Ovis aries: one gene and its partners. The protein of the gene in region 5 interacts with the protein of the main gene of each other region in a pairwise test. Links are inferred from orthologs where the notes say so. Each region holds a gene or a part of one and is shown on either strand. Other genes may lie near its edges. The genes, in order: FUS, PTMA, RANBP1, PSMD4, NUPR1 and KNSTRN.

Region 1 (5,011 bases), about 1.2 Mb from region 5:
AACGCCTTGTCTTTATTTGTTCTGCCAGGGGCGGGCAGGTTAAAGTGCTGTTAGTGACAAGAGATCTCTTGGGCTATGACTAGTGGTGGTCCTGGAGGCTGGCTTTGGGGGTGTGTGGTATGAGGTTAGAACTTAAAACTTGAGTAGAAGTTGAAACACAGCTTTCAGGTAGAAAAGGTAATCTCTTTAGCTATGAGTTGCAAGATTGCCAAGCATTTTCTAAGAAGTTGACTTACCAAGTACAGGAAGCACTAAGTGGTATACAGGGCTGTTCTCAGTGCATTCCCTGCCTGTTCTCTTTCCTCATAGCTTCTGTGACTTCCCTTTTCCTTTCCTTGTAGCAGGCTACGGCACGCAGTCAGCTCCCCAGGGATATGGCTCAACTGGTGGCTATGGCAGTAGCCAGAGTTCTCAGTCGTCTTACGGGCAACAGTCTTCGTACCCTGGCTATGGCCAGCAGCCAGCTCCTAGCAGCACCTCAGGAAGGTAAGGAGTGGGTGTGGAGAGGACTGAAAAGATTAGGGGTTCAGCAGTGGGAGTAATTATCAGGGGTAATGGAGGAGAGGTGGTCTCTGTTGGGGCAGAGAATGGGATGTACCAGAAGTGAAGTCCTGGACACACTGGCGTTGTGACTCTTGTCTTTTTCTCTTCCCCTAGTTACGGTAGCAGTTCTCAAAGCAGCGGCTATGGGCAGCCCCAGAGTGGAGGCTATGGCCAGCAGTCTGGCTATGGTGGGCAGCAGCAAGGCTATGGGCAGCAGCAGAGCTATAACCCGCCTCAGGGCTACGGGCAGCAGAACCAGTACAGCAGTGGTGGTGGCGGCGGCGGAGGGGGTGGCGGAGGTGAGAGGTTTCCTTCTGCTCTGTCTCATCCCTGCTTTTCGCAAGAAATTGTATTCTAGGCCGTTACCCTGAAAGGGTTCTTAAAAACCCCAGCTTTATCTGCATTTCTATTGAAGTTTATTCCCTGGCACTCTTGAACTGTTTCATGCCACCCCCCAGTCTGTTTTGTCCTTTTTAAAGGCAAGCTGTTCTTTCCTGACAGGTAGCTATGGCCAAGATCAGCCCTCCATGAGTGGTGGTGGCGGCGGCGGCGGTGGTTATGGCAACCAGGACCAGAGTGGTGGCTACGGGGGAGGCCAGCAGGACCGTGGGGGCCGTGGCCGGGGCGGTGGCGGTGGTTACAACCGCAGCAGTGGTGGCTATGAACCCAGAGGTCGTGGAGGTGGCCGTGGAGGCAGAGGCGGCATGGGGTAGGTGTCTTGTGAGCCAGGGAGTACCATCAGTGGGACGGGAGGAGGGTTGCATGAGTCTCCCTTGACGCCTAGTCCTGTAGTGCATGGTTAGTCTGATCTGGGAATTTGTAAGGGCTTTGAGTTGGGGTCTTGACTGTTTCTTTTTCGTACATCCATCCCCGTTTTATTTTTGTGAGAACTTGGGAGCCTGAACTTCTACCCACACTTCTGTACAGAGATTTGAGTACTGACAACTTTCATCTCTAAAGAAAAAGAAATGTAGGGGTGTATGTGGATTGGAGTCATTGATATCCTAGGCAAGAAACATGGAAGTAAAGGCTTCTTTCTCTGCAAGGGAAACCGATGATCCCACTCCTGGTGACAGGGAAACTTGTTACTTGTATTCCCATGTGTCCGCTAAAGGAGCTGTCAATGGTTAACCTGACTTGAGCTTCCAGGAATTGGCTACTTTCTCTTCCTGTATTCTCTAGTCACTTGAATCCACGAACTTGACTTGTACTAATCTGACGGACTGTAATGATTTTGTGTGTGACTTGGTTCATGGGGCTCTCTGAAGTGTGCAGACCTTTTGGACAAAGTACAGTACACTCGACAGTGGTCTCCCACCCACTTGCTCCACTGTCCCCCTTCCTCCGGTTACTTGTCCAGCTGGACCGTCTTTCCTCCCCTTCCTGCTGAAGCTGAAGTAAAACCTTAGATTTGATGTTAGAACATTTGTCAAGTCTGTTGGTAAATAACGATTGGAGGCACCCTTCTCTGTCTCTCTTGAGAAGGGGAGGAATGTCAGTGTGTTACTCCTTTTGGGGAAAAAGTAAGTTTTTAAAAAAGAGTTTGTGTATGGTAAGTATTCAGAGGGGGGGTGGGGGCAGTGCCATAAACCTTACAGAAATAAGGAAAACTCTTGTGTGCGTGTGTTTATAATGCAAAACTTTAAAAAAAGAAAAGCAACTGTTATGTGACTGTTAACTTGCTCTGCATTTTATGTGCCACAGGTATGAAAGGTGACATTGCAAAATACTCCGCTCTTCTCGCAGTGTAGAAGGGGTGACCCCGGGGGTGGGGAGAGATCAAAACCAGCTCAGTAGTTAGGGAAGGGCTTAGCTAAGTTTTGTCTCGCTTTAAGGGGAAATTGCCTTTGGTTTTGACTTTTTATGGAAAGGGGTTGGGTCTGCTTGCTGCTTTCAAAGCAAAAAAAAAAAAAAAATCACAAAAATGTGTTCAGGGCTACCCCAGCCTGGTGTGAAGTGTCTTCTGGGTAAACTGGGGGTAGGGTTTTTTAAACCAACTACTGGGTTGGCAACTGCTTGCGACAAGAGGAAAAACATCTGCTACGTCGGAAGAACGGCCAAGGAAAATGGGTCATTTTTTTTTTTTTCCTAGAGGAAATAGATATATAACCTTTTAAGCAAAATCCTTAACAATTGTGTCTGAGAAATTGCACACGTGTGTGTGACATGCTCACAGGTCAGACAAGGGTTGGTCAGGAAGGGGAATGTATTTTAGTAGCCACTTGCATTATCATTTTCCCAAAACACCTACCTATGTTTGGGGAATGTTGAACAAAACCAAAAACCGCCCTTTTGTAGCCGTTGGAAGCTTCATGTCCTTTCTTCTAACTTGTCTTCTCCAGCGGAAGTGACCGTGGTGGCTTCAATAAATTTGGTGGTAAGTGAACAGAGTTTCCAAAATTCCCAACTCCCAGCAATGCTTTGTCTGATTGTTCATTTGCAGTTGTCTTAGCGTGTTTTAAGTGTCAAAAGTTTTGGAGTGTCCATATCCACCTCCAGAAAGGGGTGGGGTGGAATGCCACCTGCTGCCAGATGTGTGCTAACCTGGAGGCAGGCAGGGAGTAAGACTCAGCAGTCGTCTGGTACCAAATTGGTTTGACCCAGGTTAATAAGCGGTGTTTAGGAGGCCTCTTGACGAGTGTCGCCACACCCGGCAGTTAGTGACCACCGTTGCGAGAAACTGGAGAGTGTGCTGGAGCATGTGGTGCCAACTTGGCTTTAGGATCGATCCTTTGATCAGTGTGTCCGAGGCTTGTGTGTGTGTGTGTGTGTGTGTGTGTGTGACAACCTCCAAACATTTTAATTCTGGACGAGGGATGAAGTATTGCCCTGCCCTGAGGATGGTGACGTTGGTATATATTTATGTATTAAATACTGAATGGTGTCAATGCAATCCTACATACACGTATTTAAACTCAACTCAGATGGGCTAAATAGCAACTAGCTCTGGGCAGGAAGGTGTGAACTGCTTCCAAGAAAGGTTGGGAGCATGTGTGGCTCATGGGAAATAATCAGGTCTTAATAACAGCACAAACTGAATTCATGGAAAAATGGCAAATTGGAGAAGTCTCCCAGTAAGCTGGAACTTTTCTGGTCTGGTTAACTAACAAAGGGTTTCTTGATTTGTCTCAACATGTAAAGCCAAAGGCTTGGGTTCATGATTTAGGTGTGTCATTGAGTGTGGGTACAACATTTATATATGGTGAATTCAGATAAACTTTGGGCGAAGATGGTCTCTGGAAAAAAAAAAATAGAGGCTGCATTATGGAAATAAGATTTCTGGTCTGTTCCCTGGGACATGCTTAAAACATACAATAGCTATTTTGTATGGTTTTTATTTTCATGTGGTTTTTGGGGAAACAACATGGTTTTAAGACTGGTTTCGAAAGATGACATTAAAAATTGTTCTACAAGGGATAAGTGTCTTTGGTGCTAAAGTTTGGAGAAACTGTATGAATGCATATCACATTGCTGGTGGTGAGCCCATTTCTCTCTGGGGCGAGAGAAGAGGGCCAAGCTATGAGTTGGTTTGTTAACTTCAATGGGTCTCCCTCCTGGCCCTCCCAGTCTGTGCTGAGGACATTTCCCAGCCTGAGCTGGGGGAGGCAGCATTTTCTGAAGTGTGGAGTTGTCCCTGTGGGGACTCAAGTTACATGCAGACCTTAAGAAAAGGGGCCTGTGTCTTTCCCAGACCTGCCTAGGGTTTTCTCTGGGCAGGCGACCCAGAACAGGGTTTGGAGTGAGGCTGGCTGTGAGCACTTACCTGATATTTTGCAAAAGTTTGGATTTGGTGTTAATTATTTTGCTTGTCTTTCTCAGCCTCTTAACTAACGGCTCCTCTTTCCTTGTTTTTTTGTTTTTTTGTTTTTGTTTTTTCTTCTATGTCATTTAAGGCCCTCGGGACCAAGGATCACGTCATGACTCTGGTAAGTCCGCAGGTGGCAGGAAAGAAAGGCAAAAGTGGTAGCAGGACTTTCCTTGGATGTTGTTCAAACTTAAGGGAATCTGAAGAAGAGCGGGGCTAGAGAAGAGCGGGGAAGAGCGTTTAGTTAGGAGTAGCTGTGTTGAATAGTGTATTTAACAAGAAAGACACAGGGACGCACTTAGTGTATGTGTTGTTTTGATGATGTTTGTATAGGGCTTCCCTGGTGGGAATGCTGCGTTTTAGTGTAAAATTAGTTTCTTTGGGGGTCTTCAACTGAAAGTTGACAAACACTGGTGTGGTCTTGGGCAGTTAAATCCTGAGCCCTGGATTCTTTTACGAATTTCAACATATTTTAAGGGGTAGTTGTAAACCTAAATTTTAATTGGTGAAGCGGCTAGCATACAGGCACTCATAATGAAGTAGAGTTGGAGATTTGTCGGACCTACAGCACCAGTGCTTTATATTAATTGGTTTAGAAATTTTCTTTCTTGGAAAGCTAACTATCAAGTATCAAAGTTCAGGTTACTAAGTGTCACTGACTTA
Region 2 (4,098 bases), on a different chromosome or scaffold from region 5:
ACATATGAAGCTCATCTGTAGACCCCAGAAGGTTCTTAGAGAGCTCCTCACCAGTCTGAAAATTCCAAGCAGCTCACATATCACCCCTTACTGTGCTGAAGGGGCAGGGTGTCTCTCCCCCAACCGAGGTATTTGTTTCTTCTGGAGATCGGAGTTGTGAATAAGTGCAAGGTTGGTAAGGAATCTGCCTGCAATGCAGGAGACCCAAGTTCAGTCCCTGGGTCCAGAAGGTCCCCTAGACAAGAAAATGGCAACCTACTCCAGTATTCTTACCTGGGAAATTCCATGGACAGAGTAGCCTCGCAGGCTACAATCTACAGGGTCCCAGTGGTTAGACTTAGCTCTTAGTGACTAAACCTAGGCTGCATTAGTATCCTGGAATGTCTGTCCTAAGGGACCAGAAGGTGCCACGTGTCACCACCAGGGGGAGCCACTCAGTGGCCAGGATAATCCAGTGAGGCCTTTGAGGTGAAGGGCACAGCTAGCAGCTGTCCCACAGGGAGGTGGCATCTCTGGGATCTTTGGCCCTGAGTTTTCACTTGGGCCTGGACAACCCCCTACCCCACCTCCTGGATCCAGAGGGCAGCCCCGCATGTAGCTTGTTCCCCCAGCCTATAGAGGTGTCGGCAGATTTCTAATGAAACTGGGTTAAACAATTTCAGTGTAGATGCTCTCACTACAATCCTAGGAAGGGATGAAGCTGGTAAGTGGCTCCCCCTTCAGCCCATAGCTCTATAGTGCTCCATCATGTCCCCATTAGCCAGTTGCAGCTCAGTACTTGACTACAGGATGGCCACCCACCAGACCCTGGTGCCAAGGGGCACACCTCTCCCAACTGAGGTCTCCAACCCACTGTCCCCAGGAAGGACAGCAGGTTCAAGATCCTCCCCTCTTCTTGCCCCTGCCCCTCTGGAGAAAGCCTAAAGAAACCAATACAGAAAAACCAGGCCTGAGACAGCTTTGTTAGAACAACTCAGCAAAATAAAATTCCGGTTTATTGTTGGACAACATTGTTTCACACATACATCAAACAGGCCAAAAAAATAAACAGCAACTTCATAGACAAAAAAAGGAAAAAAAAGAAACCTTTTATCTTTGGCCTTTTTAACCATCTCATACAAACCAACTACTTATAGTACAGCTAAGTACATACACAAAAAAAGTTACTGGAATGCTCGGAATAAGATTGTTTTTTTTTGTTGTTGTTTTTGCTTTTTTTACAAGGTTTTTTTTCTCCTTTGAGATTATAATGAACATGGTCACACCACAAGTAAAGTCAGAGTAGGACAGAGAACGCTCCGAAGGCTGGTTTGGTCATCCGAGATCATTAAAAATGGCTGACCCCTAACAATATGTACAAAAATATAAAATGTAAATAAAAAATACAAACAAATTTTCCTTTTTAAAGTACTTTAAGAAAAAAAGCAGGGCCTTGGAAGTTTTGGTTCTTTCTTTTTCCTCCCCTGTTGCAAATTCACGTTGTGGTTTTGGTTGGGTGGTGGAGAGCGCTGTCGTCTGTGGGTGGCGCTGCCCGCCAGGGGCGGGCGGGCGGGACTCTCTACTCGAAGGTGACCACGTTTAGATTCTGAGACGGGAAGTGGAGGGTGAATAGGTCACGGCGGCCTTTTTTTTTTTTTTTTTAAGTTTAACTTTTCCTTTTTTGCTGTCTAGTCATCCTCATCAGTCTTCTGCTTCTTGGTATCCACATCGTCATCCTGGGAAGGGAAGGATTGTCAAGGTCTCTTCCAATCCCCTGGGCCCACCCACCCACTGGCTGAGCTCCTAAGGGCCAAACTAAAACCAGGCATGCGCGGTCCCATAGGCCCCTGTTCCCACTCCAGCTCAAGAGGAGAAGGACCACACCCCGCACCTTATGACCACTTTTAAGCCCCATCAAGCCCTCCAGTGTTAGTGTCTCAGATCCCAGCCCTCTGGCCCAACTCAAGCCAGACCAGACCCACCTCGTCATCTTCAGCTGCCCGTTTGCCCGTAGCTGCCTCAGCCTCCTCATCTTCATCTCCGTCCTCTTCCTCACCTGGTGAGAACAAAGCCCAAGTAAACCACTCTGCCTTCCTCAACTAACCGGGCACAGTGGGTCCTGGGACTCTCCCACTCAGTGGCAGGCAGCAACAGGTAGGGTGGGGGGGTGGACACGATGACAGGAAAACTGCAGCTCCTTGGGCAATCTCCAGCAACAGAGTAACCAGGGTTGAGTGCCGCTGAGCCATCTCTGCTGCCTGACAAGCTGGGCAGTCACTGCACCCACACTGCCCATCACGGGCAGCTTATCATCAGAGGTAAGACCCAAGCGAAACCAGAGAAGCCCCACCAACCAACTGATCAGGGCATGGAGGGCACTCTCCAGTGGGCGTTGAGTGTGGTGCTAGGGGCACAGCCCCACAGTCACTAGCCTAAAGTGAGAAAGATGCTGGCTTTGTGGCTATAAGCCCAGTTGGAGGTGGTGCCTTGGACCTGCCACCCCCCAGGAAGACCCCAGTCCCTCCCCATCTGCTAGGAAGACCAGAAGGTACTAGAGGAACAAAGCTACTCACCATCACCTTCCTCCTCCTCCTCCTCTTCCTCCCCACCTTCCTCCTCTTCTTCGTCTACCTCGTTGTCAGCCTCCTGCTCCCCATTTTCCTCATTCTCCTCGACAGAAAGCAGAGCAGCTTGTTGATGAGGACAGAACATCACTCTGCCCCCAACATCACTTCTTCCAGACCCTACCCTGGGCTTCTACAGAACAGACCCCCGGAGAGATGCCCCCTGAAGTTCCAGCCAGAGATCCCAATACAGAACTGGCTAAGGCCTCAGCCCCCCGCCCGACCCTTGATTAAGCCCAAAGTCTTAAGTAAGAACTCCAGGCCAGGAGCTGCCGGGAGTGGGGGGGTGGGTCATGACCACAACAGACACTCACAGCATTCCCATTGGCAGGTGCCTCTCTCCCATTCTCCGCCTCCTCCACAACTTCCTTCTTCTCCTTTAAGTCCTTCAAAAAGGAAAAGGGAACCAGTAAGTCTTCTGAGTAGCCTAGGGCTGGCAAAGGGGCCCGAACCTACAGGTAGGAGGGATTCAGTGACAATCCTGATGTCCCAAGTAACAAGCTCGAAGTTGCAGGTGGGAGAGAGCAAAGAATACTGAGTGTCTGTGGCCGGGATCTCATCCTACTTCTCTACTCTTAAAAACACACACATTTTTAAAAACGGATCCAGGACAGCGGTTCCCACCGCACCTTTACTCATGCTTCTTAGGAAACAAGCCATGTGGCACCACAGACCGAAACCTGTCTGGCCGGGCAGACGAGCCCGGGAACACTTCACTCACACTCTCTCATCACAGAGTTGTTTCCAACTAGAGAGCTCCGCCTCTCACAAATCCTTCTTGGAAGACAGCAGGTATGTGCCATAAATAAATAAGGCAATGGGGGAGGGCCCTGACACTGCGGGAGGATTCCCGTGGGTGGACTAGCCTGGGAAGGGAATGGGAGGGAACTGGCAAAACTGGGGAAGCCGCTTCTCCAGCCAGAGGCCCCGCAGCCGAGCTTGAGCTCGGAGCCCACGATCTGGCAAGCGCAGGGCTTTCTTTGAAGGCACCAGAATCCCACCGATCCCTCCGTAAGCCACAGCCATCCCAGGAGGAGGCAGACCACAGCCCTGGACTTGGGCACCGGCTCAGGCGACTCACTCCTGGGCCCGAGTGAGGCCTTGCTGCACTCAGGCGCGCAGTCCCTGAAATTTGGCAGTTGGGAGCGCCAAAATGTCCCTCCGTGGCTCTCTCGCCCGTCCGAGGGCCAGCTCGGTGTCCGTCAGGCCGCGCCTCCCACGAGCCCCAAGGGGCAGCGCCGCCGCGGGCACCCCGCTGCCCCGTAATTTTTCCCATCCAGTGCAGCACACTGCCGCTAACACAAACAGGCTCGAGCAGCCCGGGAACTGGAGGCCGCTCGGACGCCCTCCGGTGAAGGGCCCCGGGGCACCTGCCGGCCGCATCCTCCTGGTGCTCCCTGTCCAACACAGCGCGGACCCGGCACCGCCCGCTCCCGCCCCCTGGCGGCCGAGCCCCGGGGAGTTGTGGGGGCGGGGAGGTCGTGGCGCGCAGGCG
Region 3 (4,053 bases), on a different chromosome or scaffold from region 5:
GGGTGTAGACCCGGCCTCGTCCCTCCTACGCCTGCCTAACGCCTTTCCCCACGGCTTTCCTCGCAGGCGGGCCAAGCTGTTCCGGTTTGCTTCAGAGAACGACCTTCCGGAGTGGAAGGAGAGGGGCACGGGGGACGTCAAGCTGCTGAAGCACAAGGAGAAGGGGACCATTCGCCTGCTCATGCGCAGGGACAAGACCCTCAAGATCTGCGCCAACCACTACAGTAGGCGGGGGCGAGGGGCGGGGACCCGCAAGTTCTGCACCAATCACTGCAGTGGGCGGGGCGAGGGGGCGCACAGGTGACCCGCAAGAACCAGAGGGCCCGGGAGGGTGCTGTGGCTGGGCGGGCAGGGACCGGCCTCCCGGTACCACGGTCCCATCGACTCTCTTGGGCCAGCTCCTGTGCCCACGCTCCGAGGTCCTCCCACCACGCCCCGCTCAGCCCACCCTGTCGCTTCTGGCCTGGTCCTTGTTCTCCAGCCCCGTTTGAGGTGTTTCCCAGAGGTTTTCCCTGACCTTGCTTCTCTCAGAGCCTGGCTGGTCACCGGGTTTCCGGCCTGGTGTGCAGGTGGGTGGGTGGTGGCAAGAGAGGGGCCTTGAGTGCCCAGGAGGCACGTGGGCTCAGCGGGGTTCTGGGCTGGGATGAGTAGTCTCGGTGCTGAGTGTGATGTGTTCCTGGGACTGGTCCTGGGAGATTTCTGTCAGGCACGTGGGACGAGTGTGGCCGTGGGGCACTCGTTTCTTGGGAAGCTGGCCTCCTTGAGTCCCTGCGTGGCCGGAGGGATGGGTGGCCATGCAGATTCCTGGGTGCGGCTTGATCTCCGTGACGTACAAGCTGGTCACGGGCCTTCGGTGTCCACTTCCAGTGGCCTCTTTCCCTGGGATGTGCTTGGGCAGTGTGAGGCCGAGAGTGGTGGGTCTCCTTCACCCCACTTGTGGCTTATGCGTCTTGGCTACAGCCCTGCCTGCTGTGGGCTGGGTCCTGATGTGTGGCCAGGTATGGACTCCGCCACGTGGTGGGCACCCTGTTCAGGAAGGCTGGGCCTGCCCAGCTGCGGCCCACATCTGCCCTGGGTCTGCTCGGACAGGGCCAGGGCCGGGGCGGCTGGTGGTGAATGGGTCTGGTGGCATTGGAGACCCCTGCTGAGGTGTCCTCGTGGTCGGGGAATGGCTGCCTTCTTCCCAGATTCAGGACAGTCCTGCTTTTAAGTGGGCACGGGGAGTTTGCAGGGGTTTGGGTAAGATCCAGACCCACAAGCCTTTGTCTGGGCCTGGCTTGGCGAACCCCCAACCAGGCTTTTGCTCCAGTCAGGGCTTTAGGGGTTGGGGTGGGGGCCGGCCTGGCAGCCGTGCGGTTCTCATGGGGCTTCTCCCTCCAGTCACGCCGATGATGGAGCTGAAGCCGAACGCAGGCAGCGACCGTGCCTGGGTCTGGAACACCCATGCTGACTTCGCTGATGAGTGCCCCAAGCAGGAGCTGCTGGCCATCCGCTTCCTCAATGCCGAGAGTAAGCAGGCCCGGGTGTGTGCGGGGCGGGGGGCCCTCCGGGGGGGCCTGCGCTCACAGGGCTGTGCCCCGCCGGTCCCCCAGGCCGCGGTGTCCTTCCGCTGGTGTTGTCAAGAGCAGCACCCCGTCGCTGGCCGTCTGGTGCCGAGGAGGCCTCGCCTCTCTCTGTGGGGTCTGCTCCAGTGCAGTGCCTGGCAGGATGGGCTGCCCAGATGGGAGTGGGGTGTCTGTGGGACCCTCCGGGACCGCGTCCTCCTTGCTGCTCAGGGCTCTTTGGGGCGCCGTCTCTCTCTTTGCAGACGCACAGAAATTCAAGACAAAGTTTGAAGAGTGCCGGAAAGAGATTGAAGAGAAAGAAAAAAAAGGTGCCGGGGGGCGGGGCGGGGCGGAGGGGGGGTGCTCTGCAGACTCACTCTGCACCCAGCCGCAGCCCCCGGCGGGTGCTTTTTCCGTCTGCCACAGGAACTTGCGGGGGCTGTGACCTCTGCCCTGTGAAGGGCAGCACAGCTACCCCGGTACACGGGTGCTTTCTGGGGGTGGGGCCGCCGGGGCTTGGGGAGGTGCTTGTGCCGCCGCTGGAGTCCCGGGCACACGCTCACCTGGAGATGCTGGGGCACGGCCGGCTGCTGCGCCTCCCTCTGACCGCGCCCCCGTGTCCCCCAGGGTCTGGCAAGAATGACAGCGCCGAGAAGGTGGCGGAGAAGCTCGAGGCGCTATCGGTGCAGGAGGGCGAGCAGCCCCAGGACGTGGCCCCGGCGCCCGCCGAGGAGGAGCAGTGAGGCTGAGGCGCCCCGGGCAGCTTGCCCCTGTCTCCCCCGTTTCTTTTTTAATTTTGCCCTGCGCCGCCTTTTCGGTTTGTTTTTATTCTGTTTTGTTTTTACAAGGGACTTTATATAAAGAACTGACTTCCAACATCCAGGTTGTTTTTTTTTTTTCCAAGTTTTTGCCCTCATGAAGACAACTTCAGAAAATCCATTCCCTGGTCACGAGAATGTACCGTGCTAACTTTCTTTTCCATAGTGGAAACACTTATTTATAGTCATCAAAATAGCGAATAAACAACACGTTTGAAACCTGCATGGAGGCAGGACGTGTGTGCGCCGCCCCCTCGCTCTGCCCCGGCCTTGGCGTGAGGACGCCCACCAGGAGTCCTCAGTGCCCCCCGGGCTTTGACCAGGCATCTTTGGGTGGCCCTCTGCCCTGGCGGAGCTGCCTGTTGCACCTGGAGCCGGGCGCAGCCCTGTGACCGTCCTCAGAGAAGACTGTCCTGCGCGGCTCCGGGCCCTCTTGTCTGGGTGGAGGGGGGGCGTCCTTGGGGGGCGAGTCCGGTGAGGCCCTGTGTCTTCTGCAGACCACTGCCTCCGAGGGAGTCCTGTGGGGGTGGGGGTTTGGGGAACACGACAGGACCTGGCCAGAGAATGCCTGTGCTTGGCCTGTAGAGGGTGAGGTGGGGAAGGGAAGTGGCTGCTGCGTCCATGTCGGCCCCTGGTCTGTAGGTCAGGCCTGCTCCCTGCTGCCCTTGGGAGGTGACCCCTGGGCCACAGCTCCCTGGGACCCTCTGCCCACGCCCTGCACCCACCCTCTACAGACCCAGACACCCTGAGGGGCAGGGCTAGGACCGCAGTGTGTCCGCAGGACCTCGGGCCACCGGAGGCAGAGGCAGCTGGGTAGAGCCAGGAGGTGTCCGCTTCCTGCCTGCCTGTGGCCTGGGGGCTGCTCCCCGCCAGGCAGAGGCTGTGGCCAGGGGTGGTAGGAGGACACCCACACAATCTCTTCTGTCTGTCAGCTGCCTGGGGCCCTGGGGCCAGGCGGGGTCTCCCAGCCTGAGGGGCTCAGGCACACGGCTGCACAGGGTTCTGGCCACAGAGCAGCAGACAACCCCCATGGATTCCTGCCGGGGTCCAGCCCCGCTCTCTGGGGAGTTTCCCACCTGGGGAGGGGCTGAAGGTCTTGGCTTCAGAGCAGGGGCCCCGGGCTGGCCCGACCTCACTGTAGTCAGCTCCACCTTAAGTGGCAGCCGCGGGGTCCGGAGGTGGGGTTTCCTGCAGGGGGTGAGCCTGCCCAGGCAGCCTGTCCTGGCAGGGGCAGGGCACCCCACTCCCGAGAGGCCTGCAGCCTGGGACAGGATAGGGCCAGCGCCCCGCCCTCCTTACCCTGCCGGCTGCTTCCCTCTCGTCCAGCTCAGGGGCTGTGAAGTGGGCAGGGGATAAACCACCAAGGCACCCTGCCCTGTCACAATCCGCCACCCTTGGACATGTCCAGGGGCGGGAGGGGCCTGGCCCTGCCCTGCAGGAGCTCAGAGGTGTTGAGGGAAAGGCCTGCCCCAGAAGGGCCCCGCGCAGGGCCCGTGGGCCGGACGTGCGGCCTGGCGGCAGCGCGAACCCTAGTGAACCAGACCCCAGGCGCACGGGCCCGCAGCAGCCCCCCAGGGTCGCGGTTCCTGGCTGGAGCGGCCGGGAGGGGCCCCCCGGCGGGAGGGTCCGAGCCCGGCCCCGCCCCCAGCGCAGGGCGGGGAGGGCGGGCGGGGCGGCGGTCGCGAGGGGCC
Region 4 (5,783 bases), on a different chromosome or scaffold from region 5:
AACACTGAAAGCAAGCAGCATACTGAGAGACAGCTCATCTCTACTGGCAAGCTAAACAGGCTTGGAGGCGATTTTTTCTTTAGTATCCTTCGCCAGGCAATAAACACAAACCAAAAATGATGGAGAGGTAATTAAGAAACTACTGTAAGACAAGTAGAAAGGGTTGCAAGGGTAGCGTTCAGGCAGGTTCAAATCCCTACTCTACTACTTACTAGTTCTATGATCCTAAGGAAGCTACTGAATTTCTCTAATGTCCAGTTACCTCATCTGTAAAATGGGTTTTATTATACCTACCTGGATAGTGCTGGCTATGAGGATTAAACTCATGGAAAGTACTTAGCACAATGCCTAACAGTAAGCATGACACACAGACTAGTTCTTATAGACGAAACTCAATCCATATAAAGGAGGTCAAGGGCGGACTTTACTGACCAAGCTATATGCTTTTTTCCCTGATACACTGTTTCCAACTACTCTCCCAACAGGGAAATAACTGCCTTCCTAGCTTCAAATACAGTGGTGGCTAAATATATGAAACAATGGAAGCTTTGAGGATCATCCAGCTGCAATAGCTACTAAGTACAAAGGCTGTGGGCAAGACCAGCAGATGGATGAAGGCTGGAAGAAAGATGTCAGAGGAAGCCCTGGGAGGTGGGGGGGGGGGGGGGGGGGCAGCTGAGAGGGAGGAAGAACCTGCTGTGCAGAACACGAGAGCGGTCCTCCTGCTGTCACGAGTGTATCAGAACCACTTTGAGGGTGACGGTGCTGGCACTGGTAAAAACACAGATGCTTGCACACCTATGTGTGCACCCCTAAAAAATGCAGTTTGCTTTTCCCAACATTGAACTTTATACAGACAGGATAATACATGCATTTCCTGTGACTACTTTCACTCAACAGTAATTTTTCCCAATAAAATTTTATATCAAAATAAGGGCTGACAAAATTATCCAGCTATTCCATAAAATTTTCATTAAAAAAAAAAAAAAATACAGATGCCTAAGCTTCCCTGGCTGGGAGTCTGAGCCACCAGACCAAGCAGAATCAAATATACACAACTTTCTGAGGGCCAGCAAAGCATGAGCAAAGAAGTGGCTTTCACTGCTCTTCTATGGCTGGGCTGTTACAACAGGGTGCCAGTGCATCACTCTGGACCTAACCTTTCCTCCCATACCCCAAGCCAGATCAGCATTCTTAAATCCCATTTTGTATATAGCTCTGGCTCCACCAGCCTCAGAACGTTTTCAGTAGTCCTCCATTGAAGGGTAAAGGGCAGAATTCAGCCTCCTCAACCCGACATCTGTGCTCTTCTACCTGGCTGCATGCCCCTTTCTCCAAAAAAGGGAACCACCTTCAACCAACAACCTAATAATGAAGCCACACTAGTCCATTTTCTACTCCCTAAACAAGCCTTGAGAATGTACACTTCAGCAGCTTTCCTTATGCCCTTCTCCTTACATGTAATGGCCTCTCCTTAACATTTGTCTAAGTCCCTTCAAGGACCCTCTTAAATTCTTTCCTGAGGACTTCTTAAGCATCATGGCAACTAACAGATGCAGAGTGCTGCAGTTTACAGAGCACCACGACACACACTGCCTACCCTTGCTATGAGAAGAGTAGATGTTACTATTATATTCGCATTTTATAGCTAAAGTGAGAGATTTACTACATTCTCAAGAACATGCGGCTGGAAAGTACCCCAAACACAGGATTTTGGATTCCAAATCCTGTCCTCTTTCTACTCTTAACTTGCTTTCGTCCAGAGGCTGCCATATTTAGCAAATGAAAATACAGGGCTCCCAGAATTCCCTGGTGACACAGTAGTAAAGAGTTCGCCTGCCAATGCAGAGAACATGGGTTCGATCCCTGGTCTGGGAAGATCCCACATGCTACACAGCAGCTAAGCCCAAGTGAGCTGCAACTACTGAGCCTGTGTGCCACAACTACTGAAGCTCCGGCGCCTAGAGCCTGTGTTCCACAGCAACCAGAACCCTGCAAACCCTCACCACAACAAACAGTAGCCCCAGGTCCCAGCAACTATAGAAAGCCCAGGCAAAAGCAGTGAAGACCCGGCACAGCCAAAAACAAATAAAGAACAGAAAATACAGGACTCCCAGTTAAATCTGAATTTCAGACAAACAACAGTAACTTTCTAGTGAAAGTATGTCCCATCCAATATGTGGGACATACACATGGCCATTGTGATATTAAAAATAATTGTTTATCTGAAATTTAAATTTTACTGGGCATCCTATGTGCTATCTGGCAACAGTATCTACCCAGCAAAAAGAAAACCCTTAGGTGTCTGTTCCATGCAACTGGGGATTTGTGTGTGTTTGTGTATTATTCTGTTTTCATTCCAGGCTCACACTTAGAAGAAACTCTTGAAACCTTGCAAAAGTGTGGTCCTCAGTTTTAACAGCTAGCCAAGTCAGACTGATGAGAGCTCACTGGATAAGTGCCGAAGCGTCTTTGAGTCAGATAATCCTGAGTTTAAACCTAGGCTCCACCACTTAACCTGCTGTGTGATTCTGTGTAAGTCATTTAAAACTGCCGAGACGCGGTATCCTCATCTGTAAAAGGGAGGGAGTATTGTGAGGCTTAAGTGAGATGAAGCAAATTAAATGCCTAACATTTAGAAGGTAGCTTAGTAAAGAATCTGCCTGCAGTACAGGAAATCCGCATTCGTTCCCAGGGTCGGGAAGATCCTCTGGAGAAGGAAATGGCAAACCACTCCAGGATTCTTGCCTGGAAAATCCCAGGGACAGAGGAGCCCAGCGGGCTACAGTCCATGGAATCGCCAAGAGTCCGACACGACTTAACGACTAAGCCACAAACACTTAAAAAGTACTCTTGTAGTGCCTTTGACGGTAACACCAGGAAAAGCAAAGGAGTTAGCGACAAGTGAGTGGGGCAAGGAAGGGAGCTGAAACTCTCTTCCTAACACCCATCATTGTGAAAAGGAGAGGAAGGCAGAAGACTAGCACGGTGAGTCCGAGAAGCAGGACTCTAGCTAAAGACAGATGTAGGCTGGTCTAGAGAAGACGACGCTGTAATGGAGAAAAATAGCAGGACCGGTCAATGACTGTCCGCGGACTGAGGGTTAAGGGGGGTACCTCGGGCCCGTCCGTCGGGAACTACCTCTGGGGCCCCGGGATGACTCAGGGAGTCGCTGGAGCTCCTTTCCTCCCGGCCCAAGGCCTCATCTCTTCCACCAGGCCCCCTCGCCCACCCCAGGACCGCCTGGCCTCCGAGCTACAGGCGCCCCCGACCCAGTCCCGCTGCCCAAGGGGGCCCGAGGTGGCTCCTCACCAAACCATAGTGCTTTCCAACACCATCGTGCCTCCTTCCTCCCTCCCCGACCGGTTCTCCTAGACCACTAAACAACAGCTCCTCCAATTGGCCCGGCGCGCATCACCAATCACTGACCTCGGTTGGGCCAGCTGGTTCCGCCTTCATCCCCGTGTTGCTTTCTGGGAGTTGTAGGCGCCGCCAGAAAGAAAAAAAAAAGTGGGAGCTGTTTGGGGCGGAGGGAGGGGCCAAGTAACACAAAAAAGAGGGCCACACCTCCACCTGCCCTGCCATTCAGGTTTTCTGGTGGCGTTCCTTGCAGAGAAGAGCTAAGAAAAAACGTGAAGGAACTTCTGAAAGTGCTGAAGCTATGTCTATTCCAGCATCATCGTTTTTAAAAACTGGTGGGATGACTACTGACTACTGACTTTCCAGCTCCCCCGGTTCCCCATGGCACTTTGTTCATCAAACTACTAAGCACTTATACCTCTGAACTGCATTTGTTTGTGTATCTGTCTTTCTCATTTCATTAAGGGCAAAAGAAAGTGAAAGTGTTAGTCGCTCAGTCGTGTCCCCCTCTTTGCGACTCCATGGATTGTAGCCCGCCAGGCTTCTCTGTCCGTGGAATTCTCCAGGCAAGAATTCTGGAGTGGGTGGCAATTTCCTTCTGCAGGGGATCTTCCCCAATCCAGGGATCGGACCGATCTCCTGCACTGCAGGCAGGTTCTTCACCGTCTGAGCCATCAGGGAAGTCCCCATTAAGGGCAAGAGAAGTGTCAATCTCTGCTATCCCTAAGTCCACTACAAAGCCTGACATATGGTAGGAAGGCAGAAAAAAGTTTGATGAATCAATAATTTTAACTAATCTCCCAAAGAATGGGAGACAACCTAGTCAATCACTTTCGCTTTTTAATCAAATCACATTTTAGTGACTTCCCTGGCAGTCTAGTGGCTAAGACTGTGCTCCTAGTGCAGGGGGCCCCAGGTTCAATCCCTGGTCAGGGAAATAGATCCTACATGCCACAACTAAGACCCAGTGCAGCATCCCTCAAAAGAAGAATTACATTTTAAAATGTCTTAGGGATTTCTCTAGTGGTACAGTGATTAAGACTCTGCACTTTCAGTGGAGGGGCTGTGGGCTCATACCCTGGTGGGGTAACTAAGATCCCACATCTGTCATGGTATGGCCAAAAAATAAAAATAAAATTATTTTAATTAAAAATGCCTTGGCTGGAAATTCCCTGACAGTTCAATGGTTAGGACTCTGCACTTCCACTGCAGAGAGCACCAGTTTGTTCCTTGGTCAGGGAACTAAGATCCTGCATGCCTTGGCCTGGCTATAAATAAATAAATGCCTTGGCTTACTTACACATACACTCCAAAGAAAAACTGGAAATTCCAGGTGTCTATTTTGGAGGAAGTGGGGGAAGGAGCAGAGGACCCAGACATGACTACAGAGATGGTAGATGGAGATGCCAAGTGTGTTGGGCTCCAAAATCACTGCAGATGGTGACTGCAGCCATGAAATTAAAAGATGCTTACTCCTTGGAAGAAAAGTTATGACCAACCTAGATAGTATATTCAAAAGCAGAGACATTACTTTGCCGACTAAGGTCCATCTAGTCAAGGCTATGGTTTTTCCAGTGGTCATGTATGGATGTGAGAGTTGGACTGTGAAGAAGGCTGAGTGCCGAAGAATTGATGCTTTTGAACTGTGGTGTTGGAGAAGACTCTTGAGAGTCTCTTGGACTGCAAGGAGATCCAACCAGTCCATTCTGAAGGAGATCAACCCTGGGATTTCTTTAGAAGGAATGATGCTAAAGCTGAAGCTCCAATACTTTGGCCACCTCATGCGCAGAGTTGACTCATTGGAAAAGACTCTAATGCTGGGAGGGATTGGGGGCAGGAGGAGAAGGAGACGACAGAGGATGAGATGGCTGGATGGCATCACGGACTCGATGGACGTGAGTCTGAGTGAACTCCGGGAGTTGGTGATGGACAGGGAGCCCTGGCGTGCTGCGATTCATGGGGTCGCAAAGAGTCGGACACGACTGAGCGACTGAACTGAACTGAACTGAAGTGTGTTGTAGACATTACATAGATATTGATAAAATTTTAATGGATATGTTCAAAAGTTATTGATGACCATTAAAGGTATAGGAGTAAAATCTTTGTATTTCTAAGGAAAAAAAAATCTGTTACTATAATCATAGACAGGAAAAGGAAGAAAAATAAAGCATAGAAAAATCATTAGTGAAAAGTTCAAATATAGACAAAATATGAATGTAAGACATACCAAACTGACAAAAGGTAAAAAATAAAAGGAAAGGAAAAAACAACATATCAGGCAATAGTAATAAAAGAAAGCATGTGTAGCTATATAACTATTGTACCAATAGAAACCAGGGTCTCCTGAATTGCAGATGGATTCTTTACCAGCTGAGCTACATAGAAGTCCAGGTATATACCAATTGTACAAATAGAAATCAACA
Region 5 (4,556 bases):
TCTCCTGCAGTTGGGTGTAGTGATATGTTTAAATTCTGAGCAGATGCAATGTGTTCTGCTTTTAGGTTATGGCCTTAAAAATATATTATTGCGGCCTCCTTATTATTGGTCCCTTTCCCACTCTATTTACATAAGCTGAATGCAGATGAAATGGCAGGTACTGGAGCAGCTAGGTTGGAGTGCAGAGTGGTAGCCATGTTTGAAAAGTGGCTGAAAAATGAGCCAGAAGTAACTGAAATCCCTGACATGATGGAGTTGCCATTTTAACCCCAGAGTACCAATCCTTGGAACTGCTATGCGATACAGAGAGAACTTTCTATTCTGCTTTGTTTGAGTCTTCATTACAGCAACCTGAGTCTCTTTCTCAATCAACATACCCTACCAGCTCCCAGCATGCCTCTTACTTACTCCACATTTTTTCTGGAAGTCTGGCTCTAAGACTGATAACACTGGATAAGAATTTTCCTGCTCACCTGACTTTCCAGAACACTGTCCTGGCGGCCCCCTTGGCAAAGGGACCTACCTCACACTTGAGGACAATAAGAATCCTTGAATTTGAGCCCTAAGTAACTTGGGGCAAGTCCCTAAATGTTTTAAATCCCACTTTTCGCCATTTTGCAGATGGCAGCAATAAATAACATTCACTTGAAGAGGTGGTTTGATACAAAGACGACATAAACAACAAGTTTGTTGTTCCAAAAATGGAGAGGAGCTGAGGAGGGGGCTTGTTTCATGGGCAGCATCTCAAAGAAACAGAGGAAATTCTCATACACCTCACGAGAAACCACAGAAACAAATGCACCCAAACACATATATACCAAAAGAAAAAAAAAAAAAAGCTCACCTCTACGCCATACAAAATTAGAAACACCCCTCCCAGACACATAGCTCAAAACAAACACTCACCAAAATGCTCTCATTGGTTCACGCCAACGCAGACACTTGCAGGCAAGAAGTGTGCACCCAAAAAGCCACACAAAGAGAGAACAAAAACACACAACGCACAAACAGTCGGCAGCTGCTACACTTTGTTTATTTTTCACCGTCACCCTGGGGAGCTCCGGCTCCTTCTTTCTTTTTGGGGGGAGGTACCTTCTTGACTCTGCCTCTGTCTATGCTCTGCCTCTTGCTCCCCATCTTGTCCTTTCTCTGGGGCCGGGGGTGCTTCCTCCATGGCGCCCCCGGAGTCTCAGTCAGGTGGGGTTAAGTCCTGGGGTTGGGGTGGGGCAAGCAGGCCTGGATCCCGCCCCCAAGGGCTGGTTCCTCCTCGGTCCTATTTCCATTGCTGTGGGGGTCCGTCCTCTGGCCTCATCTGGGGGAAGGAAAGCAGCTGGTGAAAAATCCTGAAGCCTGGGGTTCGAGTTCTGCCTCTCCTGTTCACTTGCTCCATGACTCTAGAGAAAGACCCTACCCTCTCTGGGCCTCAGTTTTCCTGTCTGTAAATCAAATGTTGCTCCACTTGCAAAGGGTCTGTTTCTCCCTTTGCTCTGGTCGCTAGGCAACTCAAACATATGTCTCATTTTATTCTATGTTGGGACAACAATTCTTGGCTCCCTCCTCCCCGCCCAACCTCGCACATTGAGGTCTGTCCCGCCCAGGCTGAGGGACCTGTACAGGTGCTGGGGGCCCCTGACTCCTTACCTCCAGTCCTGTCTCAGGGTCGTGCCCCTCGCTTTTTCCGCTCCGTGTTCTGAAGCTTGGTCACCAGCTTCCTCTCGTGCCCACCAGGGCTGTGGCGGTTGGTGTTGATGGCAGCTTCTCTCTTGCTGCGACCTTTCCGGCCTCCCACTCCTGGGAACCGAGGCGAGAGTCCGTGGTGAGGTGGGCAGAGGTGTGAGGCTCAGGGGGTACGGAGGGCAGGGGTGGAAAGAGCTTGGGTTAAAGTCGGGAGGCCGGGGATCGTCACCGCATAGATTTAGGGCAGTCTTTGTCCCTGCTTCCGCATCTGTGGATTGAGGGACTTTCCCCCTCCCTCGTGATCTCCAAAATTCTAGAAGTATGTGAGGTCCCAAGGCTGAGTAGGACAACACTCACTGGATGAGGGGTTGCGGGGAAGGGGGTGACTCCAGGGGTCAAAGAAACAGGTGGTGAGTGGGCAGGAGCCCAAGGAGGAATCCTAGTTTGGGGAGGTGGGGTTCAGTCCACTTGTGAAGGTGGGCATTGGAAACGGAAGGATCCAGAAGGTGGCGGGGCCAGAACTTACCCGGGTAAGAATGAGCCAGGCTGTAGAGGTCGTACTCGTCTAGGATGACATCTTCATCCTCTGGGCCTGGGGGCTGCCTGGACGGGCTGGCTGCTGTTGGGAAGGTGGCCATAATGTCTCTCTGTCTGTCTCTCCCTCTCCCGTCTTCTAAAGCTTTGTTTGTGTCTGGTTTGCTGACACCTCCCAGTTCACTGGCCTCAACTTATAAAGCCACGTCTCCTCCTCAGCCCACAGCCTGGCTCCGGCCCTTCAGGCCCGGTCTGATGCAATCTGGCCTTTTCCCAGAACCCAGCCCAGTAAGCATCAGTCACGAGAGAGAGAGAGAGCGGGGGGGGGGGGGGGGTTGGGGGGTGGTGGAGAAGAGCTGGTCCCGTGAGTCCCAGCCCCCTTCCTTCGCCTTCTTTCTCACTGGGGCTGGCCCAGCTGGGTAGTTTTCCACGGAGGAGATCCCCGCCCCTCACGGGGGAGGAGGTAAGAGACAGGGTTTGGGCATAAACAGTGCTTGTGGTCAAGGCCCGAAGGGAACTGAGGGCCTCACCTGGCTGATTGCTTCCTTATCCATCTCATGCCCTCTGCCCTCTGCCACATACCCCTCCTGGGCTGGGGGTCATGGCCACACAGCTGAGCCCCACCCCACCCACTTCTGGCTCAGATTCAGGACCCTGGTGGCAGAACATGGAGTGAAGAAGGATCCAGGAGAGGGTACAACCCACCATGTGTTATGTCACTGATCCTCACACTGATCACACCCAACCCTTTTTTTTTTCTTTAAATATAAAAAATATCCTGAAAAAAAAAATATCCTGGAAACCCCCCTTAACATCCTGAACTGGGGGTCCCTAGGTAATCTCCCTCTCCTGAGAGGGAGACTAGCAGAATGGTTAAGCCAATTCTGGAGCCAGATGTCTTGGATTTAAACCCTTGATCCACTACTTCCTGTATGACCCTGGACAAGTCAATTTACCTCGCTGAGCCTCCGTTTTCTCCTCTGTAAACGGAGGGTAATCGTAACTGTATCTACCTCATAGAGCTGGCATTTGTGCCAAGTTGCTTCAGTCGTGTCTGACTCTTTGCAACCCCATGGACTGTAGACCACCAGGCTCCTCTGTCCAGGGGATTCTCCAGTCAAGAGTACTGGAGTGAGTTGCCATGCCCTCCTCCAGGGGATCTTCCCGACCCAGGGATGGAACCCATATCTCCTGCATTGGGAGGTGGGTTCTTTAGGACTAGCACCACCTAGAGTTGGGAAGAAGATCAAATGAGATAATCGATGGCAAAGTACTTGCTACAGTGTAAACTGCATTGCTCTCCTTGAAATGTAAGAGAGACATAAAAGGAAATCAATTTAAAATAAAGTTATACAGGGGGCTTCCCTGGTGGCTCAGTGGTAAAGAGTCCACCTGCCAATGCAGGAGACACAGGTTCCATCCCTGATTCGGGAAGATTCCACATGCCAAGGAGCAGCTAAGCCCGATCGCTGTAACTACTAAGCCTGTGCCCTAGAGCCCGTGTTCTGCAACAAGAGAAGCCACCACCATGAGAAGCCCGGGCACCGCAACTAGAGAGTAGCCTGCACAGCAACAGAGACTCAGCATGGCCAAAAATTAAAAAAAGAACAAAACCTTTATTAAAAAATAAACAAAATAATACATATTTCAAACCATGGATATACTGAGGTAGAGACCATTGTGAAGTAAACAGATGTTTGTGCTAATTTAATATGAATTAAAGGAAGGGGATTGGATAAGAAACAGGGGAAAGTGGAAATTTCCACTCTTGCCTGAAGGGCCTGACCCTGTGGGTCTGTTGACCCAGACCGGCCACACCCTGAGTTGCTTTAGCTGAGGCTTGAGCACTTCCGACAGTGAAGGAAGCAGACTGCAACATTCCATTTTTCCTTTTTTTTTTTTTTTTAGCTCCGTGGTCTCAGTCCAGGATAGGTTTTAGGTGTTAATTCCCTGCTCACATTCCCACTTTGCTGTGAGCCGACTGAAATACTGTTCCATTTCAATATTACCAAAACTTCCGTCTTCCCCCGAGCCTTATAATAACCCAGTATCATTCTCTGTTGAACAAGAAGGGACACTCTTGCTTGCATTTCTCCCTGGCCTGAGCCAGAATTAGATTTAGCTTCTGGTTTCCCGGGGATCATAATAACAGAGCAGATGATAAGAGAAAGAGGAATTTAACCGTAACTTAAACATGGGAGAAGGAAATGGCAACTCTCTAGTATTCTTGCCTGGAGAATCCCACGGACGGAGGAGCCCAGAGGAGTCCATGCGGTCACAGAGAGTTGGGTGCAACTAAGTGACTAACAAACATAGTAAACAAACATAGCAAACACACCAAGGCA
Region 6 (5,580 bases), on a different chromosome or scaffold from region 5:
TCAGCAATGCTGTGATGCTCTGGGCCACTGACTACAGGCCAATCCATCAGACACCTTGTGCTCTGCAAAACCCTAATTCTTGGTACTGAGCAATTTCTAACAGGAAGTTCTATTTGGATACTGATGTTCTGACTCACCCATTCTCTCGTCTCGGTTTGATGATTTTTGTAACATCAGTCTCTGAAGCTCCTGAATGAGGTCTGGAAACATCAACTTCTTTGGACTTAACAGGTAACTGGCTCTTAAAAGTGGCTCGAGTTTGTGCATCTGCAAAGGAAAACAAACGGGTGAAACCTCACATATCATGACCAACAGCTGCCAATTCTATAAATCCTGAAGAATAAGACTTGTAGACCAACTGGGAATAGAAACCAAAATTCTTTAAATGTGACAGTGCAGTGTTTGAGGGTGGCCAGAAGTTTGACGATATAGCAAACCGAATGGCCAGAGGGTGGAGATTCATATAAGCAAAGATCACAAGAGGCAGTGTGGCTGCCAGCAAGGCAAAACACAGCTGAACCCTGCCTCATACAGCAATTCAATGGAACTATCTCATTCTGCTCTTAAGCACTTTGCCTGCTCCCCTAAGCTACATGCAAGCTGTTTCAAGCTTCAGCTGTTGCTTAGTTGTTTTGACCAGACTGGCTCACTAACTAGTTCTCTAAGACAGTGGTCCCCAAACTTTTTGGCACCAGGGACCAGTTTCCTGGAAGACAATTTTTCCTCAGACCAGGGGTGGGGTGGGGATGGTTTCAGAATGCTTCAAGTACATTAATTACATTTATCATGCACTCTATTTCTATGATTATTACATCAGCTCCACCTCAGATCATCAGGCATTAGATTCCGGAGGCTGGGGCCTCCTGCTTTGCAGATGTCTTTGTACCTCAGCATCTAGGAGAGTATCTGGCATATTAGCAAAAATTCAAAACCTGCTTACTGCCTAAACGGAACATGTCAGTTTCAAAGACCATCTCTAAAGTAGCTTCTTTCGTCGTCTTCCCTCTTCCATGCTGGCCTTTACCATCATCCATTTTTGTTTATCCATCTTTAAGTTTAGAGTTTCATATTCGGTTCCTTATTTGGCATTCTGTTCTGATCCTGGTAGGCTGTTGCCAGATAACCACAGAAATGGCCCTGACATGACACTCTTCTTCCCTAGAAGAGAGCATCTGCCCCCTAGCCCTTATGCCGCCCTCCGCCACACACCTCTTTCTACCACTTCCATTTCATAGCAAATCCAAGTAACTTGTTCTGGAGTTAAGTACTCACCCTACCCCATCTAATACATGCAAAGGATTCTTCTACTTTATACCAACTTTCATTTTGTTCATTGTAAAATGGCCCCTTTAAAAACCTGGGCCCATACTCTGGTTTCTGAGATTTTATATGCCCCGAGGCAACTAGCCTATGTGCCACAATCACTGAGCCCACCTAGAGCCTGTGCTCCGCAACAGGAAGAGCCACCACAGTAAGAATCTCCTGCTCTCCAAAACTATAGAAAGACTGCGCAACCAAAAATAGTTTTAATAACCTTGACCTATCTTAAGTTGAAGAAATCAATGATTAAATCAAGATGAAGAAATGAGATACAAAGTACTGAATTGCAGGCATTAGGAAACTTTGTGTTTGATAAAGATTTATTTTGATGACTTTAGCTGCACAACAGTTTGGAATAAATATGATTTCTCAGGCTAACAAATTATTTCATTTATAGGTACACTCAGTGGGCACTTACATCCTATTTTCACACAAAGCAAGTATTAAAAGGGTTCTTTCTGAGATCTGTCAGAAAAGGTAACCTTGGGTGAATGAATTTACCTTCTCCTCTCTCAGGTATTAATAAGTCATACATGATAAGAAATATCTCATGCAAAAAGGTATCAACAGCAAACGGATCAAAATTAACACTCTTCATTGACTGGGATTGGTTCCAATAACCCATATTTGTTAGAACCTAAGGATGGTATTGTAGGAAAAATTTAGCAGGGTTTAACAAAGACTATCTTCTTAAAATGAGAGATGCTAAGTAGGGAACTGGATGGCTAGTGCCAAGGATGGAAAGACTAATTTTTCACTGTATATCGTTTCCAAACTTTGGAATTTTTTTTTAAACATGTGTATATGTTATCTGTTAAAAAAACTAAAAACCAACCAACCCTTGCCTAACATCAAAAAACCTGGGAGGCAGCCTAAAAATTTTTAAATATTGGGGTTACATATGATTGTAAAGCTGTGACTGGGAAAGAAGCAAAGAGATGAAAACTTCCAGTTTGGGTGGGGAGATGCCAGTCACTCCCCACTGAACTAAAGATGCCGCTTTCTAAGAGAAAGGCAGTGTACGACTGACTCCAGTTCCTCCATCAACTCCTAAGCCCTGCTGATGACAGGATTGCCATTCGGGTGTCCTGAAGCAATATAAGACAAACATAATCCTGTAAGGCCTTTGGAGAAAAGCCTATTTACTTCATAGGTCAATCCTACTAGCCTCATCAATCAGTTGCATGGAGTCACCTCGGAAAGAATCTTAAATAGCTGCTTCAAAACCTTCCACCGCCACCCAGTTCTCACGTTTGAAACCAATTCCCTGCTATAATCTCTAGATTAGGCAGCTGACAGTTGCAGAATTTAGGAGATAATTTCAACTCCAAGCTGAGTCACACAAAGCAAAATGGCAAAGCAATCAAACATTGCTTTTAATCATGCCTCTTCTCCCAAAGTTCTGGAGCATTAGTTAGGCCTGATCCCTCTCTCTCTCACTTTACTCAACAAATGTTTGCTGAGAATGTACTATATAAAGGACACTGTGCAGTTACAAATGGGAACCAGACACGGTGTGAACCCTAGTGCTTCTCCCTAACTATCCTGCTTTTTAAATGACTCTCTTCTCTCCTCCCTGACAACAAACCCAGTCCCTCAGGACACCCCAAGTCTGGAAATAAAACAGATACGTATAAAAGGGATCCCTAGCTTACTGCAAATAATATTGTAGAATAGTCAGCAACTTGAGTCTAATTGGTGAATGCAGCAGAGTTCGGGTTGAAGAAGCAGGCGGGTGGGGCAAGTCCAAATTTCTACCTTACCGCCCTTCCCCCAACTCCTATTATAAACTAGACAGCCCGGTTCTAGGGAAGTTAGCAAGCTGTCAAAGCCGGTAGAATGCCCTTCCTTGCCGGTGCCACCCACCCCCAACAACAGATTTGACGCCTCCAGACTCCTGGCCCGACCACCCCAGGGCCGGTTCGCAGTGCCAGGGGGTAAGGGCCCCATGGACACCCACCTGCCGGCAGGCCGCTGCTCAGCACACAGGTGGGCTGCAGGGTGTACACTGTCTTAATCACGCTGGTCATCGTAACGAGGCGGCACGGCTGGGGCCTAGAAGTTACAAGGTGAATGGTTACCCAGGGCTGGGCCAAGGAGACCAAGCAGGCGGAGGCCCCAGGAGAGCGCGACTCAGGAGAGCGAAAATCCTCCATTCCCAGCCCATCCCATCGACTTCCCACATCCAGCACAGTTTCCTGCCCCAGGAGAGCCGAACCCAGGTGCCTGCTGCTCCTGCCCACACGCCTCGTCGCTCTGGTTCAAAAGATGCTCCGCAGTAACTGCCGTACCACGGACCGCGTCTGCCGCCAGGGTTTCAAAGGGAAACTTCCGGCGACCGGGCGGAAGGGGGTGTGGGGCGCTCTCTGTAGGAGGCCATGTTGTACGGCAGTCACTGGCGTGGGCGACGCCTTCGGCGGCTGCCATGCTGTACGGAAGATCTGAGTCCATGCCGCAGTTTAGGCTTCCTGGCGCTGGGTATAGGAGTCCCCAGGTCTGGGCGGGGGAAGAGAAGTGATGCACTTTGCAGTCTTTAATGGAGCTATGAGCCACTGGTGTCATATGCCGGCCTTGGGACGGAAACGCAGTCACGTGTAGGGTCCTTGTCACAATCCTTCTCTTTATTTGGTCTGTGATTGTTAGGGATGGTGCATGATGCCAGAAAGCCAGGAGCAGAGAGGGATTGGTAAGAAAAAAAACTACACGGTGGAGAGTGGCAGGTGAGATTTGGAGAGGGCTTGTGAGCTGAAATACCTGAGACACCTATCCTCAGTCCTAACTTTTAAAACACTTATCCAGAATTTAAGCCGAGATTCAAAGCTACTCCTAGCCAACGGGGCAGAATTCTCTAACATTTAGCGCATAATTCATTTAATTCAACAAATATCCATTGAGCACCTGCTTTGTGTCAGACAATGGGCAGGTGGGATGAGGACAACAAATATCAAGACTCACTTGGGCTGTGCCCTCCTGGAGTTTACAACCCAGTGACCAGCAAATAATCATACAAACCAGTCAATTATATCTCAATTAAACTGGAAAAAAAACCAAAATATGTATTTATCAACTATAGTAAAACTATTAGGGGAGAGTACAACATGCTATGAGAGAAAAGCAGGGAAACCTAGTTTAAATTGCAGAGTCAGGGAAGATATCTTAAGTGATGTTTGACTAAAAGGGGGAATAGGAGTTAACCTGATGAGGAATCCATAATCATGAGAATGGGCTTTTCTTCAGTTCAGTTCAGTCACTCATTCATGTCTGACTCTTTGTGACCCCATGGACTGCAGCACACCAGGCCTCCCTGTCCATCACCAACTCCCGGAACTTGCTCAAACTCATGTCCATCAAGTCGGTGATGCCCTCCAACCATCTCATCCTCTGTCGTCCCCTTCTCCTCCGGCCTTCAATATTTCCCAGCATCAGGGTCTTTTCAAATGAGTCAGTTCTTTTGCATCAGGTGGCCAAAGTATTGGACTTTCGGCTTCAACATCAGCCCTTCCAATGAATATTCAGACTGATTTCCTTTAGATTGACTGGTTAGATCTCCTTGCTGTCTAAGGGATTCTCAAGAGTCTTCTCCAACACCATAGTTTGAAAGCATCAATTCTTGGGTGCTCAGTTTTCTTTATAGTCCAACTCTGACATCCATACATGACTACTGGAAAAACCATAGCCTTGGCTAGATGGACCTTTGTTGGCAAAGTAATGTCTCTGCTTTTTAATATGCTGTCTAGGTTGGTCATAGCTTTTCTTCCAAGGAACAAGCATCTTTTAATTTCATGGCTTCAGTCACCATATGCAGTGATTTTGGAGCCCCCCAAAATAAAGTCTGTCACTGTTTCCATTGTTTCCCCATCTATTTGCCATGAAGTGACGGGACTGTCTCAGAAAGCTGAGCGCCGAAGAATTGCGCTTTTGAAATGTGGTGTTGGAGACTCTTGAGAGCCCCTTGGACTGCAAGGAGATCCAATCAGTTCATCCTAAAGGAAATCAGTCCTGAATATTTATTGGAAGGACTGATGCTGAAGCGGAAACTCCAATACTTTGGCCACCTGAGGCGAATAACTGACTCATTTGAAAAGACCCTGATGCTGGGAAATATTGAAGGCCGGAGGAGAAGGGGATGACAGAGGATGAGATGGTTGAATGGCATCACTGACTTGATAGACATGAGTTTCAGTAAACTCTGGGAGTTGGTGATGGACAGGTGTCAGGACCAGCTCAACAACGAACCGACCTGAGGGAGCAGTACCGCAG

Evidence for each region.
Region 1: the proteins of NUPR1 (region 5) and FUS interact in a two-hybrid assay, tested with the Homo sapiens proteins (2 studies listed by BioGRID and IntAct). The link is inferred for Ovis aries from reciprocal best matches to the Homo sapiens genes NUPR1 and FUS.
Region 2: the proteins of NUPR1 (region 5) and PTMA interact in binary tests that used the Homo sapiens proteins (3 or more experiments, as listed by UniProt). The link is inferred for Ovis aries from reciprocal best matches to the Homo sapiens genes NUPR1 and PTMA.
Region 3: the proteins of NUPR1 (region 5) and RANBP1 interact in a two-hybrid assay, tested with the Homo sapiens proteins (2 studies listed by BioGRID and IntAct). The link is inferred for Ovis aries from reciprocal best matches to the Homo sapiens genes NUPR1 and RANBP1.
Region 4: the proteins of NUPR1 (region 5) and PSMD4 interact in a two-hybrid assay, tested with the Homo sapiens proteins (2 studies listed by BioGRID and IntAct). The link is inferred for Ovis aries from reciprocal best matches to the Homo sapiens genes NUPR1 and PSMD4.
Region 6: the proteins of NUPR1 (region 5) and KNSTRN interact in a two-hybrid assay, tested with the Homo sapiens proteins (2 studies listed by BioGRID and IntAct). The link is inferred for Ovis aries from reciprocal best matches to the Homo sapiens genes NUPR1 and KNSTRN.

What each region holds. Positions count from the first base shown.
Region 1 is NC_056077.1:27,785,164-27,790,174, forward strand, and holds part of FUS (RNA-binding protein FUS), read left to right. Parts: intron 1-341; coding exon 342-486; intron 487-657; coding exon 658-842; intron 843-1,044; coding exon 1,045-1,252; intron 1,253-2,885; coding exon 2,886-2,920; intron 2,921-4,436; coding exon 4,437-4,469; intron 4,470-5,011. UniProt on the Homo sapiens protein: DNA/RNA-binding protein that plays a role in various cellular processes such as transcription regulation, RNA splicing, RNA transport, DNA repair and damage response. Binds to ssRNA containing the consensus sequence 5'-AGGUAA-3'.
Region 2 is NC_056055.1:233,411,052-233,415,149, reverse strand, and holds the end of PTMA (prothymosin alpha), read right to left. Parts: intron 2,990-4,098; coding exon 2,918-2,989; intron 2,650-2,917; coding exon 2,553-2,649; intron 2,036-2,552; coding exon 1,962-2,035; intron 1,716-1,961; coding exon 1,668-1,715; 3' UTR 960-1,667; downstream 1-959.
Region 3 is NC_056070.1:73,024,858-73,028,910, forward strand, and holds the end of RANBP1 (ran-specific GTPase-activating protein), read left to right. Parts: intron 1-66; coding exon 67-224; intron 225-1,380; coding exon 1,381-1,509; intron 1,510-1,807; coding exon 1,808-1,873; intron 1,874-1,911; exon of another isoform or gene 1,912-2,033; intron 2,034-2,171; coding exon 2,172-2,287; 3' UTR 2,288-2,585; downstream 2,586-4,053. UniProt on the Homo sapiens protein: Plays a role in RAN-dependent nucleocytoplasmic transport. Alleviates the TNPO1-dependent inhibition of RAN GTPase activity and mediates the dissociation of RAN from proteins involved in transport into the nucleus.
Region 4 is NC_056054.1:101,141,456-101,147,238, reverse strand, and holds the start of PSMD4 (26S proteasome non-ATPase regulatory subunit 4), read right to left. Parts: upstream 3,354-5,783; 5' UTR 3,339-3,353; coding exon 3,313-3,338; intron 1-3,312. UniProt on the Homo sapiens protein: Component of the 26S proteasome, a multiprotein complex involved in the ATP-dependent degradation of ubiquitinated proteins.
Region 5 is NC_056077.1:26,594,346-26,598,901, forward strand, and holds NUPR1 (nuclear protein 1), read right to left. Parts: upstream 2,382-4,556; 5' UTR 2,316-2,381; coding exon 2,204-2,315; intron 1,792-2,203; coding exon 1,655-1,791; 3' UTR 1,642-1,654; intron 1,313-1,641; 3' UTR 1,015-1,312; downstream 1-1,014. UniProt on the Homo sapiens protein: Transcription regulator that converts stress signals into a program of gene expression that empowers cells with resistance to the stress induced by a change in their microenvironment.
Region 6 is NC_056060.1:34,204,320-34,209,899, reverse strand, and holds the start of KNSTRN (small kinetochore-associated protein), read right to left. Parts: upstream 3,773-5,580; 5' UTR 3,772-3,772; coding exon 3,539-3,771; intron 3,376-3,538; coding exon 3,281-3,375; intron 268-3,280; coding exon 138-267; intron 1-137. UniProt on the Homo sapiens protein: Essential component of the mitotic spindle required for faithful chromosome segregation and progression into anaphase.